Linked DNA regions of Saccharomyces cerevisiae S288C. The gene in region 3 interacts genetically with the main gene of each other region. Each region holds a gene or a part of one and is shown on either strand. Other genes may lie near its edges.

Region 1 (5,046 bases), on a different chromosome or scaffold from region 3:
GCTGATACGGAGGGTTCATGATAATAATGGAAAGGTAGACTTCGACGCAGATGATGAATTGAAACTTGTGAATTTGCGTTTAGGAATCGTCGGCAAGAACGCAACTGGGATGAAGGAAGATGAGACTGATATTGTGGTTCCTAAGGAAGAGTCATTGGAAGAGATCTGGCAAAGTATAATAGACGAGGCAAAAAAAGAAGTAATCGAAAAAACTCCAGATGCTGGCGTTAAGAACAAAGAAGGGATTGTCACTGATTTGAATGTTCTAAAAGATTTAGAAAAGTCGAAAAAAGAAGATGAAAAGGTTTACCTAAGTGGTGATGTCCATATGATGATGAACCAACCAGGTGATTTGAATGAAATCGCCAAAGAACATGATAAAATCCCAAAATTTCTATAGTAGGCTCTATGCATCCGGATATACCACATGTAAATATAACGCAAGCGAATAAATAATTTTACATTCACCACTCAGTAACCTTGGTCCTGCAGAAGATATTTCTATATAGTTATTACCGTATTCCATTTTTACTTATGTGCTATTATTTATATTACAGAGGGGTTTCCCTTGTGTTAATTGTTACATTTTTATCATCATTCATTTTTATAGTTTGGTTACCAGTTGCGCTTGTTTCCTGGTTCGAGTTTGGATTATCGTCCTTGAGTTCCGTTGATGATTCCTCGTTGGCGGTTCTTTCTCTTCCTGCTGTTTTTTCATCTGCAGCGTCACCTGACTCTTGTCTGGTTTCGTTAATTGAGGTCAAGGGAGAAGCATTCATTTGTGTATTAGAGTTGACATTTGTGCTGGAATTGACTCTTGGTGAAGATGTATTAGAGGGGGGGTGTCTGCTCATATGAGAGGGCGTAACATTTGGTGAAGATTGTGAAGTTTTTTTAGAAGACTTATTTGGCGCAAATGGTAAAGGCGTGTTGTTGCTATTATTATTAGCACTATTTATGGCTGGACTTCCCTGCGATTCTAGTTGTGTTTGTCTGGAAGTGGGGTTTACTGGCGTTGTTGTACTGGTCGTACCGTTGGGAAAGGAGTTTAGTTGTTGCAAGATTTCCTGGGGCAAATTCTTCCACTGGTTTAAAGGAGATCCTTGCTCGGTCATGGCAGGTGATCCCACGTTAAATTGTATTGGGATTTGCGATTGTACACCTGACCTTTGTGGGTTAACGGAATTGATGTTAGAGTTAGGGCTCACGACCACCGGTTCATCGGTCAGAAGACCAGGAATTTGTGCAAATAGTAAATGCATATTATTCAAAGCATTCGATAGTTTATCAAAGTATTTGGAACCTATCTTCAATACCCAGGTATAATTTCTAACATAATCTCTGAAAATCATAGCCTCTTCCTTCGTAGCTGAAGTCACATACAGCAGGGCAGCAAATGTTCCAATTAGCATCAGATTTCCAGTTGAGCAGTTATACCAAAAAGCATTAATATGTTCGTTTTTTAGATCTCTTATAAATTCAATTGCTGCTACAAGCCTGGTTCTTGCAGCAGTCCTGCATACTTGAACCAGTTCCTTTGGAGTTTGAGGATTCAAGGCACAGATAATTTTCCTATGTAACGTAATTTCCGTGGCAAAATAAGCTAGAGTTAAAGTTGAATTTGAGTTCAATTTTTGTGGCGTGGCATAACTCATTGACAAATTCTTGGGTAGGGAATGGTACCATTCTCTTAATTTCAGTTGCAACGGCTTTGCCAGTTTCAATACCTGTTCAATGCTTTTGTTTATTGTCATGGATCCCTGAGTGTAAAATGTGTCCATGATTTCCCCAAGAATTATACTCAAGGAAACCATTTGTTGAAACATAAGCGTTCCATTCTTGAAATCTTCTAAAGTGGGGTTTATGTTAAATATGGGCAAGTTACCAAATGCTATCTGATGGTTTTTCACATCATTTGATGACGAGGGTGAAGACCCCGACTGGTCATTTTGCAAGGAATTTAAAATAGTGGGCGAATTCAGAGGAAAATCATCAAAGTTTAATAGCTTGATCATCCAGTTCCTACCTAAAATTAAATGGGATTGTCTACCTTCGTTTAATGCACACCATTTATCCATCAACCAAACTGCCCACGCTAATCTCTTTCTCAAATCTTTTTCCCATTTGGGAAGTTTCCAATCATTACATTCAACCCCGAGCCCCAATTCCTCTGCAAGGGCCACTACGCTGGAGCAGAGGACCCAGTTGTTATGACATTCACTACGGCATTGCAAAATCAAAAGGCCTGTTTGTATAATGCTCAATTTTGGCCTTCCAACTCGAGCATAAAATGTTTCCAATGCGATATTGTTTAGTTGAGCAGTTACATCGGGTTTAGGGAACCCCAAAAGTGCAGGATGAAAATCCCAATATTGTAATGCCAGTGAGTAAATGGATGCCAGTAAAGGCGCAGTGAGTTCTCTATAAGATCTAGAATACTTTTCCAAAAATACACGTTCGTGTAAAATTGGAAGAAAAGGATGAATCAATTTGAAGAAAATCTCTACTAAAAGGTGACCGTGCGGATGTACCAGATTTTCGACCAAATCAACTTCGTATTCTTGCTTACTATGAAGGGTCGTGTCAAAATCGTCCTGAAGAATAAACTGTGCGGTAGGAGACACCTTTCTTAATGATAAAGTTTTTGATAGCTGTATTTGGTCAACATTATCTAGTCTTACATGCTTGGTCAAGTTCAAATCGAAAACTGAGGCCGGACCGACGAAAAAAGAGGATCTGGGGTATTGTATACGCTGTTGCTGCTGTTGCTGTTGCTGCTGCTGTTGATGTCTATAGAGCATGCTACTGGGTAAGCGATTCGAATAGTCTTCAAAATTTTTCATTCGTTTGGAGTTTGAAGAGGTTGGCATGTTATTGTTTGCCCCAGAGGACGTTCTTTTCAAATAATTTGGAGCAATACTGAAGGTGCATTTAGTTCTTGACGTTTCACATTCGAGACAGTTGCCTAGGTCGGGAAAATAGTTGCACTTTGTTTTCTTTAATCTACATTGATTGCAAGATCCCATCAGATTACCGGGACTAGATATGTCATTATTGTTGTTATTATTGTTGCTATTACTGCCATTATGATCTGCGCTGTTACTAACATTGTCATCAAAGGCTATTGCATTATCACTCTTGGAGAGTAAACTTTGATAATGGTGCAAAAGGGTATCCAGGCTCTGTTGTTGCTGCTGTTGTTGCTGCTGTTGTTGCTGTTGTTGCTGCTGCTGATGCTGTTGTTGTTGTGATCCTCCTTTCTCCCTCAGTATATTAGGATGGTCGTTTGCCAAATGTTGCAGAATGGTAGTATAGTTATCATTAAAATTCAGTATATCATGGTTACTGTTATTATTGCTGTTGTTGCTATTGACATTATTATTCGTGGACGAATTTTTAGTGGTTGCCTTCACGCTCTTCGTAGGCGATGCGGCATTATCAGCTGGTGATTGGTGAGGGTCCATTTGATAGTATGGCTGCCTGTCGTTCTGCCGCTCGTCTAAACAGGCCAAGAGTTTTTAAGATCTACACTATTATTTGAAAATGATTCTTATCATCTATTATTTTCAATCACCATGTACGATTGTTATGTTTCATATAATACCCATCGCGATGGATATTATATGAGTATTATTAGCTCGAATCTTGGACTGCTTCTGCTCTACCTATACACTGATTGTACAATTCTATATGCTTATGCAGCTTAGACCATTTTTTATTCGAGAAGTTAAACCTAGCGGTCTCAATTACCGACACATATGCCTTTTCAAGATATCGAGTTAATGAGCGACGGTATCACCTTATAAAAAATGACACAAATCATCTCTGTTGAATTGCCTACATCACTGTGGGAGCTCCTTTTTCAATAATTCTCAAAGCGTGTCCTAAGACAATATTTTGTTTTCAGCGTGGACCGAATGGTTATGGTTATATAATTAAACAAGTTAAAGACCATAAGCACAAATACAAAGTACGTAAACATCGTTCCAAAAAAACTTGGCGAACTACTCGCCCCCCAGCAGAGCACTCAACCCCAACATACCTAACAATGCAAACTTGGCATATTTGTTCTCGCTAATCCAAATCGTAATGTACCCTAGTTGTGGAAAGTAGCCCTTGACGGTCCCTACAATCTCCTTTGACTTGTTCAAGTAAATTTTCTTATTAGCATATAGTGAGATATCATTGCCGGCGTTATTGTCACCTTTGGTCAGGAGGAATTGCTTGTCCGCGTGATTGTTATGTTGCCTCAAAACTCTATGCACAATGGGGATTTGTTTCCCTTCGACCTCATACACCACGACATCACCTACTTGGTTGAAAGTATTTCTATTCCATAGGAAAAGGATATCACCCCTTTGGAAAGCTGGTTCCATGGAGCCTGAAAGCACCACCACGATCGGAGAAGCGCTATTAGTAGCAATGGCTAAGCCTTGCCAGAACATGTAAGCAGATGCAAACAAAAAGCAAACGTTCAATAGTTTCTGCAATTCAAATCTTAGATTCATCTTGTGCTAACTCCCTTGGGGTTTACTTTCCGGTATATTTCTGTAGTATATTGTTTCTGCACCATTTATTTCCTTGGAGATTATTTTTTTGAAATCGCTTTTGCCAATGGAAAAAAGTATACGTATGGTAATAATAATAAGAGCAACAGCGCTCTCTGAAATAGAAGATACCAGCAGCTTCGTGGTCTTGGGAGTCTTGCAGCTGACAGAGAATGACATTGTTGTGCAGGTGTGTCACATAAGATCTGGAAAAAACCAACAGCTACAGAAAGAACCGCCCTCACGGAGAATAAAGTCAATAGTAGCTTTTTTTTACGTACTTTCTATTTACATGCTATATAAGAGGATTATATCTTTGCGCCTTTGAGAAACTTTGAGGAACCGGCCTGAAAATGTTGTAGATTGAGCTTTTCTTGCTTAACGTAGTCGTTGAATTGCTTTAGGACGCCTGAGTCCAACCTACCATTGTCCTTCATCACAATGTCAACGAGGTTGCTATACGTACGAAGAACTTTACTCGACTCCATAGTAGCGAGAA
Region 2 (3,159 bases), on a different chromosome or scaffold from region 3:
TTAATAAGTGATAGGGGACATTACTCACAGATTGTATGTTTGAATGATTTCTCATCAATGAGATTTCACATAGTGTTTGTAAACTTTTCATATCTCGACATCAATCGATTTATACATTCACTAGAACGTATTTCCATGAACAAAAACCGTTTGCATGTAAGTTACATATGTATCTAATCGTCATAACTGAACAAATCCCTTCTTCGCAAATATTAAATATTTGAAATTTTCTATTGTGATCTTTCTTAAGCCCATCGTGGCAAATGCCGAGAAAAATACGCAATTGTACCAGCTTTATTGAAAGCGCCAGATATACAGTGACAACACCCCGAATATAGTTGAGAAATTTATAGTATTTCAATTATTACATAAAACAAAATTTTGGAATTCTGTGGTTGGGGTAACAAAGAATAAATAGAAGCAACAGAAATTTCAAAACTATTATATACTTCTATGACATTTTTGTTTATATTTGCACTTAATTTTCCTTTTTGTCTGCCTATATACATACCCTTATAACCTTCTTTTCCTCCTTCTTCTTTCTTTCTTGTTTTTAAAGCAGCCTTCATTCACCACGCAATGCCTTGATGACCGCGGGTCTTCTCATCATATGCTTCGTCCATTTGTAAACTTCTGGAAATTCAATTTTGATATTAATGCCAATTCTATCCACGACATTATTCCATGGGACAAAGGCCAAATCTGCTATAGTTAATTTATCTCCTACAAGCCATACGGGATAATCAAAGAAACGACTTTGTGACATTGGTGTTGTACCAGCTGAGTATGCAGCCGCATTTTCCGTGTCTAATTCCATCACCAGCGCTTCTCTACGTTCAGCCAAGGCCATCTCCACTACACCGTAAACTCTTCTAACCTCATCCGTATATCTTTCTACAGCACTTGCTATCTTTTGTGAATGGAAGTATCTGAAATGTAAAGCTTGTCCAATCATTGGCGCATGCCCTGACGTTTGGAAGAACAACCATGCGTTGATTTGTGATTGGTCAGCTAAATCATCGGACCAGAGTAATGGATTACCAGTCTCTTTGTAATATTTATTTACCAAATGTAATAAAATCGCCCCTGATTCCCAAATAGACAAGTTGTCCATACCATGATCGATTAAAGCTGGAACTCTTGCATTAGGGTTCACAGACACAAATTCGGGGGCCCTATGTTCGCCAAGATTGAAATCTAGGAAGATTGTGTTATAATGAAATCCAAGTTCACTTAGTACTATAGCAACTTTGAATCCATTAGGCGCAGACCTGTGAGAGAAAAGGGTATATCCCTCCAGTGGTTGTTCTTGAAAAAATTTTGTAATTCTGGAATACTCCACGTGACTCATATCCGAAAATGCCTGTTGTTGTTGTCGATGTTGTTCTAAGGTATTCTTGATATTATTCTCGTTATCATTATTTTGGCTACCATTGCGGCCGCTGTTATTGTTTTGAACATTATTGTTATTACTACTGCTATTGTTATTATTATTATTATTTACACCTGTTGAAAATTCAAAATTTATATTACTTTGATCGGTGGTTGTATTACTGTTCCTGTTTCCTATGTTTACTTGACGGAGCGCATTGGAGAGATTCGACACTTGGTTGCCGTTGTTATTCATCATTTGGTGTACAACTTAATTTGCAGCTTAAAACAATATGACTAATAACAAAAAATGAAAAACTAAAAATAAAGAAGTTCGTACGGGGGATCTTTATTCCTCTTCGATTCAATTCAGTGCTATAAACAATTCCAAATGAGCTGTTTGAAAAGGAAAGATTTTTGCTATTCTTTTCAACCTCGAGTAAGGAAGCTTTCGTCTTTGTATAGTTGCTTTTCTGGCCTAGTAGAAAGGAAAACTACATGCTGAAGCCACTCTTCCTCAAAAATTCAATAGTGGCAGCTCATCAATCCTCCTATTCGGCGAGAATTGAAAAAAAAATTCCAGGCTGCGTCACCCGGATTAATGTTGTTATTCCAGACAACAGTCGGTATTCATTTTCCACATTGACTACAGTTAAATTAAACTCTACACAGCTCTACTAATAATTTCTGTTTCGGCGTTCTATGGTTTGGTGTCACTATATTCTTTTGGTCTTGACTTTCTTTCTTTTCACTACGTTTTTCACTGCCGCATGCCCTGCTATCTTCACGTGGTTGAATAGCTTATTTCGACTATCAAATGATTCTCCGCATGTAGTGCACACCTCGATCGCGGAGGTTGGAGACATAGAGGACGGTAGAGTCGACAAGGACGGAGTGCTTTTTGTGGATTTAGAATTCTTTTTAGGTTGTTTGCCCTTTTTCTTTTTCGCTTTAGTAGACCAATCTTCATCGTCATCCGTTTGTAAGCCCTTGTCTCCTAGTGATGCCAAAAGATCATCCAACTCATTACTCCGTTTGTCTTTAGTATCATCGAACGATTCAGATTCCTCTGTTTCTGTGTCAACCTTTGCTTTTTTTTTCTTTTTTCTTTTCTTTTTATTCTTCGTATTCACATGTACATTTTCATCCGAACTGACGTCTTCTACCTCTATATCCATTTCTATGTTGAGATTGTCATCTTCACTTTCGTCTTCAGAAGACGATTCTGCCAGTTTTCTTTCAATTTCAGCGAGTTCAGCTTGCAATGCTTGCAGATCAATATCTTCTTTTTCTTTAACACTTTCATCTGCTGAATCAAATTTCTCGAGATCGGAGAGATTATCCAACCCAAGCGTTATGTTTTCCTCTTCCATTTCTTTCCGTATCTCTTCCATATTTTTCTTATGCAGTTTAGTGTTTATGTGGTTTTTCAATTGCTTTTCCGACTTAAATGTCTTGTTGCAGATAAAACACTCGTAAATCAATACTTCACCTTCCTTATCATTCTTAGAATTTTCGAATTCTCCAAAATTATCATATACCTTTTCCAGTTCATCCCAGTTTTCTTCTTTTACCGTTTGCCAGCTTTGTAAATGAAATTTTTCTTCGTCATTGTTGTCGTTCCCAAACTTTCTTCTGTTATTTAACTCATTTTTCCTCTGTTGTTCTTTTAGTTTACGCTGTTCTTCTGCAATTTTTGCACCTTCTTTCATTCTTTTATCGAGCTTTTTTATGAAAACTACAAACCTTTTCACGGTTTTGTTGTATTCATTTCGAGCTTGTTGCCTA
Region 3 (4,158 bases):
CAGGGCTTTCCCCCACATGATAATTAGAAGTGCCAAATGAATCAATCTTGTTGAATCGATTTTCTAGATTAGCCTTTTCGACTTCATGTTTGAAAATGGCTTCCGCCATTGGTGATCTACAGAAGTTACCCAAACAAATGAATGCGACCGATATTTTTGGTTTTTCAATTGTCATTTTCGTGTTAACTTTCCCTTCTCAGTTTTCTATCGCTTATCAAAAATCACAGGGTTTCAATTAGCCTTTTAGGAGTTATATTCTTTATTGGCTTTATACTTGAATGGTGTGATTCTCTCGAAGGGTTTAACATTCAAGCTCGGCCATGTGCTGGTACAAGGAAAAAGAAAGAAAAAGTAATCATTGAAATTTTTCTATAATACGTACACCTATAATATAAGAAGGAAAAGGACTGAGTGTTTGGAATATTGTTAAAAGTTTGAAACTATTTTTTTGCTTAATCGTTTATAAAAAAAGTTGTATTTAAGTTGTATAAAGTTTTATTTCATTTTTTCACAAATAATATCATATCAAATCTGATGATCTACGATCAGAATTTAGAAAGCTTTTTTCAAAGGAGAAATTAGCTTGTCACCCTTATAGAATGCAATGGTCTTTTGAGCTCTTTCAGCAACACCTTCTGGGGTGAAACCGAAGAACTTGAAGACTTCTGGTGCCTTACCGGAGGCACCAAATCTGTCAATACCGAAGGATTGATGAGCGTATTTGCCCCAACATGTGGTAGCCAAAACTTCAACAGACATGATTGGAACGTTGTCTGGTAAGACTGATAGTCTGTATTCTAGGGGTTGTTTGTCAAAAGTGAAGAAATCTGGTAGAGAAACAACACGAGCCTTGATGTTCTTTGCGGCCAAAGTCTTAGCAGCTTCAACACTCAAAGACACTTCGGAACCAGTAGCCACTAAAATAATATCTGGGTTAGCAACATCTTGTAGTACGTAACCACCCTTAGAAGCGCTTTCAATAGAGCTACCTTCCAATTGTGGCAAGTTTTGTCTGGACAAAGCAATGATACTTGGAGTATGCTTGGATTCTAAAGAGTTCTTGTAGGCGGCAGAAACTTCGTTACCATCAGCTGGTCTCCAAACTTGAATGTTTGGTAGGGATCTGAAGTGTGCTAAAGTTTCAATAGGTTGATGTGTTGGACCATCTTCACCGACACCGATAGAGTCATGTGTAGCAACCCAAATAACTGGGTGGCCAGACAAAGCGGACAATCTAACGGCACCAGCAGCATAAGAAACGAAGTTCAAGAAAGTACCACCGTATGGTTTGTAGTTGGCACCGAAAGCTGAAATACCGTTCATTATGGCACCCATAGCGTGTTCTCTAATACCGTACCTAATGTATCTACCAGAGTAGTTACCTGAACCGGAAGAAGGAGGTTGGAAGTCAAGGGCTTCCTTCCATCTGGTCAAGTTAGAAGGTGTTAAATCGGCAGAACCACCAATCAACTCTGGCAATTGATTGTAAACATCCTCAAGAACAGTTTCTGATAATTTTCTAGTGGCCACGGCAGAGTCCTTGGCGGTGTAAGTTGGCAACTTAGATTCCCAATTTGCGGGTAGTTGGCCGCTCAATCTTCTAGCCAATTCAGCACCTAATTCTGGGAATTTCTTTTGGTATTCGCTGAACAACTTGTTCCACTTGTTGTTGGCTTCGACACCTGGCTTTAAAATTGTCTTTTGGTAGTGGTCGTAAACTTCTTGTGGAACAACAAAGGACTTGTCTGGGTTGAAACCGAATTTGCTCTTTAGTTGTTTAACATCATCTGCTTTCAATGGGGCACCGTGCACAGAGTGAGAGCCGGCATGCAAGGAACCGTAACCAATGGTTGTGGTCATTTTGATCAAAGTTGGTTTGTCCTTGGATAACTTAGCTTGAGCAATAGCCTTGGCAATACCGGCTAGATCTTCGTTACCATTTTCTACGTACAAAACTTCCCAACCGTAGGCTTCGTATCTCTTAGCAACATCTTCATCGAATGAGATACTGGTAGCACCATCGATAGTGATCTTGTTGTCATCGTAGATGGCAATCAAGTTACCCAATTTCAAATGACCAGCCAAGGAGGAAGCTTCTGAAGAAATACCTTCTTGCAAACAACCGTCACCCAAGAAAACATAGGTGTAGTTGTCAGACAAGGTAAAGCCCGGCTTGTTGTAAGTGGCAGCCAGGTTAGCTTGAGCCATGGCCATACCAACAGCGTTGGAGATACCTTGACCTAATGGACCGGTAGTAACTTCAACACCTGGCAACTCAAATTCAGGATGACCTGGTGTTCTGGAACCCAACTGTCTGAACTGTTTCAAGTCTTCAATAGACAGATCGTAACCAGTCAAATGTAGCATAGAATACAACAAAGCGACCGCGTGACCGTTAGACAAGACAAATCTATCTCTGTTGATCCAGTCTGGGTTGGTTGGGTTCATGCGCATTTGACTCCATAGAACGTGTGCAGCTGGTGCCATACCCAATGGAGCACCTGGGTGACCTGAGTTGGCCTTGGATACGGTGTCCACAGCCAAAATTCTTATGGTGGAGACGGCTAGCTTATCAATGTCAGTGAATTGAGTCATTTTGTTTGCTAAAGAGGTAACTATGTAGAGTTGCTTGGGATGAGCTTCCTTCTCTGTTGTACTTCAGTTTGATCTGAAACTTAAAAAACGAAATTTAAAAGGAAGACAACGGTGAGAACAAGAAATGAATGAATCAAGAAGTCACGATCAAGTATGTAGGTAAAAGATCAGGGGGGAGTATGTACGTAACCAAAAAGATTGGGAAAGAGTTTATATATGAATCATGCCTACGATCGTACCTTCTTGGCTTTCCCAAGAAAATTTTTCATCTCTCGAACTTCTCGAGAGATTGCGAACGGAACGGCAAACGCCGCCGGCATTTCTCGGAAAGAAGACTAGAAAATAAATGACGGTGGGAAAAAAAGCAAGAAGCTACGGTTACCCGCAGCGGCACTATAGTAGATGGGCTTTTAAGCCCGTTTTCAGGGTCAGGTAATATGTAATGTAGTAGCACTTAAACTTGCTAACCATAAATGACCAAAATGCAAGTTTGCTGTATTTTAGTCCCGTTGGCGTTTTCGGATGCTTCATTCCCCAGAGAAGTGATGTGTATGCGAAAAATGTCTCAATGCAGCTTTGGCTGCTGCGGAACTTATCCGCTTTGTAAGCACATCTTGTTTTAATGTGTATGAATTTTTATATTTGGTTCGAAAATTATGACATTCGGCCAAGAAACTTTCAGAGGAGCTGTGTATTAGCAGATGGTAAGCGCACGTTGAAAATGCTGAATATTATTAATTTAGACATACCTTGATGGCTGAACAGTAGTCAGAAAATTAAAAAAAAAAAAAAAGCGCTTATTACGGCGTATACACGTAACTATATAGACGTAGATCATTGAATATTGATATGATATAATATTTTCCCCGGGATTGCAGAATACTGACACGCCTTTTATTTATCGTTCATCGTGTATTTCGAACTTGTCCTCAAACGGGCTCTCAGTGCGACTGCCCTGGGTGCTCTCGCGTATCGATTCTGGAATTTCCAAGTCCAGTATAAAACTTCCTTCTTCATCGTCATCTTCGTCGTTATTACCATGGCTTGCCTCGCTTTTTGCCATGTGTGAAAGATCATCCGCCTCTGTCTGTTCTTCAATGACATCCAAGTCCTGAATCTCCTTATCACTCTCTTCCTCTGCGATTTGAACCAGTTTAGGTTTAGCACGAATAGCAGTTATGAGGTTATCGTCTGCGTCCTTATTGAGTACCTGGTTATGCTCGTCATCTTCGTCATCCAGACCATCCAAGATGGAAGAACCTAAGGTTATATGTGACCTGATATCACCAGCTGCATTTTGTCTCTTAGAGCTCGAGCGTAGTTTTGATTGCAGTTTGTCGGTACTCAAACCGCTTGTCACACCAGGAATGTAGGCAATAGGCAAAATATTAGAAGCCCTTGTACGAGTGGTAGATGCTGAACTTCTGTTTCCCGGCACGTTGAGAGTTGGAGGTACCAGTGACGTATTGAACAGGGTGTGACTTTCATCTTTTCTCATACCGCCATCATCCTCATCGTCTTCATCATCATCGTCTTCATCGTCGAAGTATTCCTCTTCATTCC
Region 4 (4,236 bases), on a different chromosome or scaffold from region 3:
GCGCCTCAACTGTTGGGTTCTTGTCTATTTTATGTATATTCTATATTTCAAGGATTACGGAATCGATAAGTATTCTATTATGTAATCGCCTTTATATACAATGGCCGTGCGCGTTTATATAATAAAGTACCTTCGCCCTTTGGATTTATTAGTACTGTTGAGGGAACAATATTGCAGATTATGGATCTTGTACGACATTTTATGCGTACGCCCTCTTCATCATCGCCGTCAATATAATAAGCTTTATCTTCAGTCCCCCCCTTGACATCCCCCTTAGCGTGGGAAGGGCTCCGTGGGGGAGTAATAGCATCTAATGGTCAAGAGTTTTATCGAGACGAAAAAGAGGAAGGAAAAAAACTGAAGATGGAAAAGGCTAGTGATACGCTAGCGATTTATTTTTTTCCTGGAAATAAAATAAATGTAAAATGCTATTATGTATTTTTCATTATATATGTAAGCATATATATTCGAGGTACTACGGATGTTTTTGACCAAGAAAAGACCACACACAGGTCCTAATCATTGAGATCGAATTTGTACATTTTTACGCACCCAAATTCATCACCACTAAAGCATTCTGAATCTCCAATACAAACACAAGCGATAGGGGCGACTTTATCACCCAAGGATTGTGTTTGTGTGTGCTGAGTTTCTCTTTGTAGTCTTCGACCGTTGAACGTGTGCATACACTTCCCGCTTTGCAAGTCCCAGACCTTAATGCTTCCGTCGTGAGAACCACTTATAATTCTGAAGTTGTCAGCGGCGATGTCCCAAACACCTTCCACGTGCCCAAACTGTGTTCTTATGCATTTACCGGTTTTGACGTCCCATAGTTTGATTGTGTTATCCAGTCCGCAAGATAGTAGATGTGTTGGATAAGGTATGTTTTCATCTAAGACAGTTTCTTGCTCGTTCGACGGTGTGTCTGATTCGTCTGCACCATCAGTCATTGTTGGGTCATCCTGCGGAGAGCTGCCATCAGAAGTGTTGTCGGTGGCTAGATTCTCTACATCCTTAATGGTAAGCGGTATGATCTTTTGCACCTGCCCTACATGACCCCTGAACACTTTTAGGCATGAATTGGTCCTGATATCCCACATTCGGATTGTGGTATCGTCACTGCAACTAAAACATGAAAAGCTTTTCGGATGCAATTTGACGCAATTAACCCATTCCGTGTGGCCTCTCAAGGTGTAGCATGTCCTGGACTCCACGTGCCATACCTTGACCGTCTTGTCAGCACTGCCGGAAACGATAACCTTCTGGTATGAATCTACGCTCAGAACGCTATCCGAGTGGCCTCGATACGTGGAAATGCATTCACCGGTTATGTAGTTCCAAACACGGATCGTCTTGTCGAGCGAGCCCGTAATCAGCTTTCTATCGTCAAAATATAATGTCTTGACGCCGTCCGAATGGCCGCTGAGCCTTCGTATTAGCTTCCCCGTGAATAAGTCCCATATACCTATGGTGGAGTCGTACGAGCCTGTGAACAAAAGCCTGTAGTTAAACTGGAGCGTTAACACACCATCCATGTGGCCCTTGAATTCCTGAATCCTGCAGTGGCCCTTTCTCCAGTTTGACTCCACTTTGAACCGTTCTCTGTAGATGACTTTCCAAGGTCGCGTAGTTTGCGTCTGGATATCTGCGTTGCTGCTAGATCCTGTACTATTCTGTTGTATCCGCGCACGTTTCATGTGCAAAAGAGGCAGCCCCCAGCCACAGTTGGGACATTTCCTGTCTATGTGCTGCTCGCACATGTGGTACCATACCCTGTCGTCATCCGCGAGCTTCTGCCACTTGCGGCACACTCTCGTGGCGTTGCAAAGAGATTGGCAATCCAGATAACTCAAGATCTTCAGCGACAGCTCCTGCGGCAGAATGCTGATGAAGTCGATCTTGATCATGTGTGTAACGAGTGACGAAATGTAGGAAAGCTGTGGGAAGCAACTCGTCGATAGGATCCCATCCAGAATCAGCTTCCGTATCTTGTCATTGGAATTGCTGTACTTCGAGATAATGTGGTGGATGTCGGATTGCTCCTGCAGGGGTAGCTTCGCGATATTAGCATTAATCTCTTGCGTTCGTTTCAAATCCTGCTTGTAGCACGCTGTATGAGTTGGTGAGAACTGAATGTCCGGGTTATGCCGATAGCAGAACTTGGTGAAGTTATATTCTGGCAATGGCTGTACCCTAGTGCCGCTGTCGTTTGTCGCCAAATCGGGTGATGACGATGGCGACCTCGTCGCCATCGTCATCTTCTTCTTACCCGATGATCCTTGTGCCAAATCATCGCTACTGCCCGTAATAAGCAATCTCTTTAATGGTGGCATCATCGCCGTATCTGTCATTTCACTGCTGTTATTACTATTACTATTGTCAAGGTCGTCCTTGTCCTTGTCCTCGAAACTCATCATCCTTTGCCTCTCTCTCCTCATGCCCTTCTCCTTTATAAATCACCAAACACACACCCCTTTACCGATACTCAAGCCTCTTCTCTAAACTTCTTTAACTGCAGTCTTCTCTTACGATACAGACTGCAAGGTTGCTTTCTTCTTACGCTGATGAAAAAAAATAAAATATCTCCGCGCAAACTGTGGCTTCCCGATCACGTGCTACAACCTCATTTCTACATTAAAACACACACATTGTACCACACACGCCAACACACATATACACGCACAATCACTCCCACACATATACAAACACACGACATATGAATATATATAGTACACGCGCCAATCCATTAGTTTTTTTTTTGGGATACAGACGCACATCATGGCTTCTTGCCCGTTTAGTGCAATACAATAGCCTTGTGTTGCCGTGCCACACCCTGCAGTTATCTCTCCCAGATCTGTCTTTCCATCCCCTTAGTTGCTATCGCTGCAGCCATTTGTTCAAAATCGTTATCACCATCATTCATCATCACTTATCATTATCATGCACATGCTGCCAGCCGCTGCGGCTGGCTATGTGTTGGTAGTCATCGAGTCGGAAGCCCATCATCGGTGTGGGTGTGAGGCATTTCTAGAACGGATTTTGGGTGCCGTTTGTCACGTGGGACGGGATGCGGTTTTATTTGACGCAAGTTCCATGAACATCATCGCACGGTTTCGCAACAGTTTGGGACTGTACATGTACAAGATGGGTTTTCTCCTTTGCTTTTTTGTTTTGTTTTGTTTGATTTGATGGTTGGTAGTTATTTTTTTTTTTTTTTTAATTCAGTTGGCAGCAATGGAAGGGCTTTACCATAGCACCGTATCAGATGAAGTTTGCTGACCATCTAACCGAGTCTGCCATCCCGGAATGGAGGGACAAATATATTGATTATAAGGTCGGCAAGAAGAAGCTTCGCCGCTACAAGGAGAAGCTGGATGCCGAAGAAGAGCAATCCAGCTCCTACCGGAGCTGGATGCCCTCTGTGTCGGTATACCAGACTGCATTTCAGCAGAGAGAGCCCGGCAAAAGTCGCAGCGACGGAGACTATCGCTCCGGACCTGCGTTCAAGAAGGACTATTCTGCTTTGCAGAGGGAGTTCGTTGCTGACTTCATTGAAGACTGGTTGATCTCGTTCCAGTTGAGTAAGTGTAACGAGTTTTACCTTTGGTTGCTAAAGGAGTGCGACAAGAAGTTTGAGGTTTTACAGTCGCAACTGCACTATTACTCGCTGCAGAAGAATTATGAGCGCGACAACTTGAACCGGTCTAGTTCGAATGTTGACATGTCCACGAGTCTATATGCGGCAGGGCTTGCTGGTCGTTCTGACTCCAGGGTCAATAGCATCGACAGCGATAGCCGGTCTGTTATGTATGGGTCAATGCCCTGCACCAAAGAGGCCAAGAAGCCGCGTTTGTCGCTGCTAGCGTACTGTCAGAAAGTTCTTAAGGACAATAGGCTGCTGCCATCGTGGCCCAAACGTGGATTTTCTCTGCTACAGGACTTGAGACAGGATGCGTCCTCAAGAGGCCGCGAGACGTTTGCTTTTGGCGCTTCTTTTCTGGAGACTATGACGACAACCCAGGCTAGAAACTTGTTAAGCAACGCTATAATCGAGTACTATCTGTACTTGCAATTGGTCAAATCGTTCCGGGATATCAACGTCACCGGGTTCCGTAAAATGGTCAAGAAATTCGACAAAACGTGTCACACAAGAGAGCTGACCACGTTCATGTCGTACGCCAGGACCCACTACACCCTTTTCAAGCACGCGGATGCCAACGTGCAGTTGGTGGCACA

Evidence for each region.
Region 1: mutations in TKL1 (region 3) and DAL81 together harm fitness more than expected from each alone (negative genetic interaction), as found in Saccharomyces cerevisiae (2 studies listed by BioGRID).
Region 2: mutations in TKL1 (region 3) and URE2 together harm fitness more than expected from each alone (negative genetic interaction), as found in Saccharomyces cerevisiae (2 studies listed by BioGRID).
Region 4: mutations in TKL1 (region 3) and MET30 together harm fitness more than expected from each alone (negative genetic interaction), as found in Saccharomyces cerevisiae (2 studies listed by BioGRID).

What each region holds. Positions count from the first base shown.
Region 1 is NC_001141.2:398,195-403,240, reverse strand, and holds DAL81 (Dal81p), read right to left. Parts: upstream 3,465-5,046; coding exon 552-3,464; downstream 1-551. Other genes in the region: INA22 (Ina22p), read left to right, coding at 1-400; signal peptidase complex catalytic subunit SEC11, read right to left, coding at 4,005-4,508; YIR021W-A (uncharacterized protein), read right to left, coding at 4,515-4,727; MRS1 (Mrs1p), read right to left, coding at 4,856-5,046. UniProt on the Saccharomyces cerevisiae protein: Positive regulation of genes required for catabolism of GABA (UGA4, UGA1, and UGA2), urea (DUR1 and DUR2), arginine and allantoin.
Region 2 is NC_001146.8:218,572-221,730, forward strand, and holds URE2 (glutathione peroxidase), read right to left. Parts: upstream 1,631-3,159; coding exon 566-1,630; downstream 1-565. Other genes in the region: ELA1 (elongin A), read right to left, coding at 1-91; JJJ1 (Jjj1p), read right to left, coding at 2,088-3,159. UniProt on the Saccharomyces cerevisiae protein: Plays an important role in nitrogen catabolite repression. Down-regulates the expression of many genes involved in nitrogen utilization by inhibiting the GATA transcriptional activators GLN3 and GAT1.
Region 3 is NC_001148.4:692,244-696,401, forward strand, and holds TKL1 (transketolase TKL1), read right to left. Parts: upstream 2,596-4,158; coding exon 553-2,595; downstream 1-552. Other genes in the region: tyrosine protein phosphatase LTP1, read right to left, coding at 1-175; OPY2 (Opy2p), read right to left, coding at 3,494-4,158. UniProt on the Saccharomyces cerevisiae protein: Catalyzes the transfer of a two-carbon ketol group from a ketose donor to an aldose acceptor, via a covalent intermediate with the cofactor thiamine pyrophosphate.
Region 4 is NC_001141.2:266,853-271,088, reverse strand, and holds MET30 (ubiquitin-binding SDF ubiquitin ligase complex subunit MET30), read right to left. Parts: upstream 2,439-4,236; coding exon 516-2,438; downstream 1-515. Other genes in the region: YIL046W-A (uncharacterized protein), read right to left, coding at 2,616-2,780; SYG1 (Syg1p), read left to right, coding at 3,266-4,236. UniProt on the Saccharomyces cerevisiae protein: Substrate-recognition component of the SCF(Met30) complex, an E3 ubiquitin ligase complex that mediates the ubiquitination and subsequent proteasomal degradation of target proteins. Negatively regulates sulfur amino acids biosynthesis genes expression.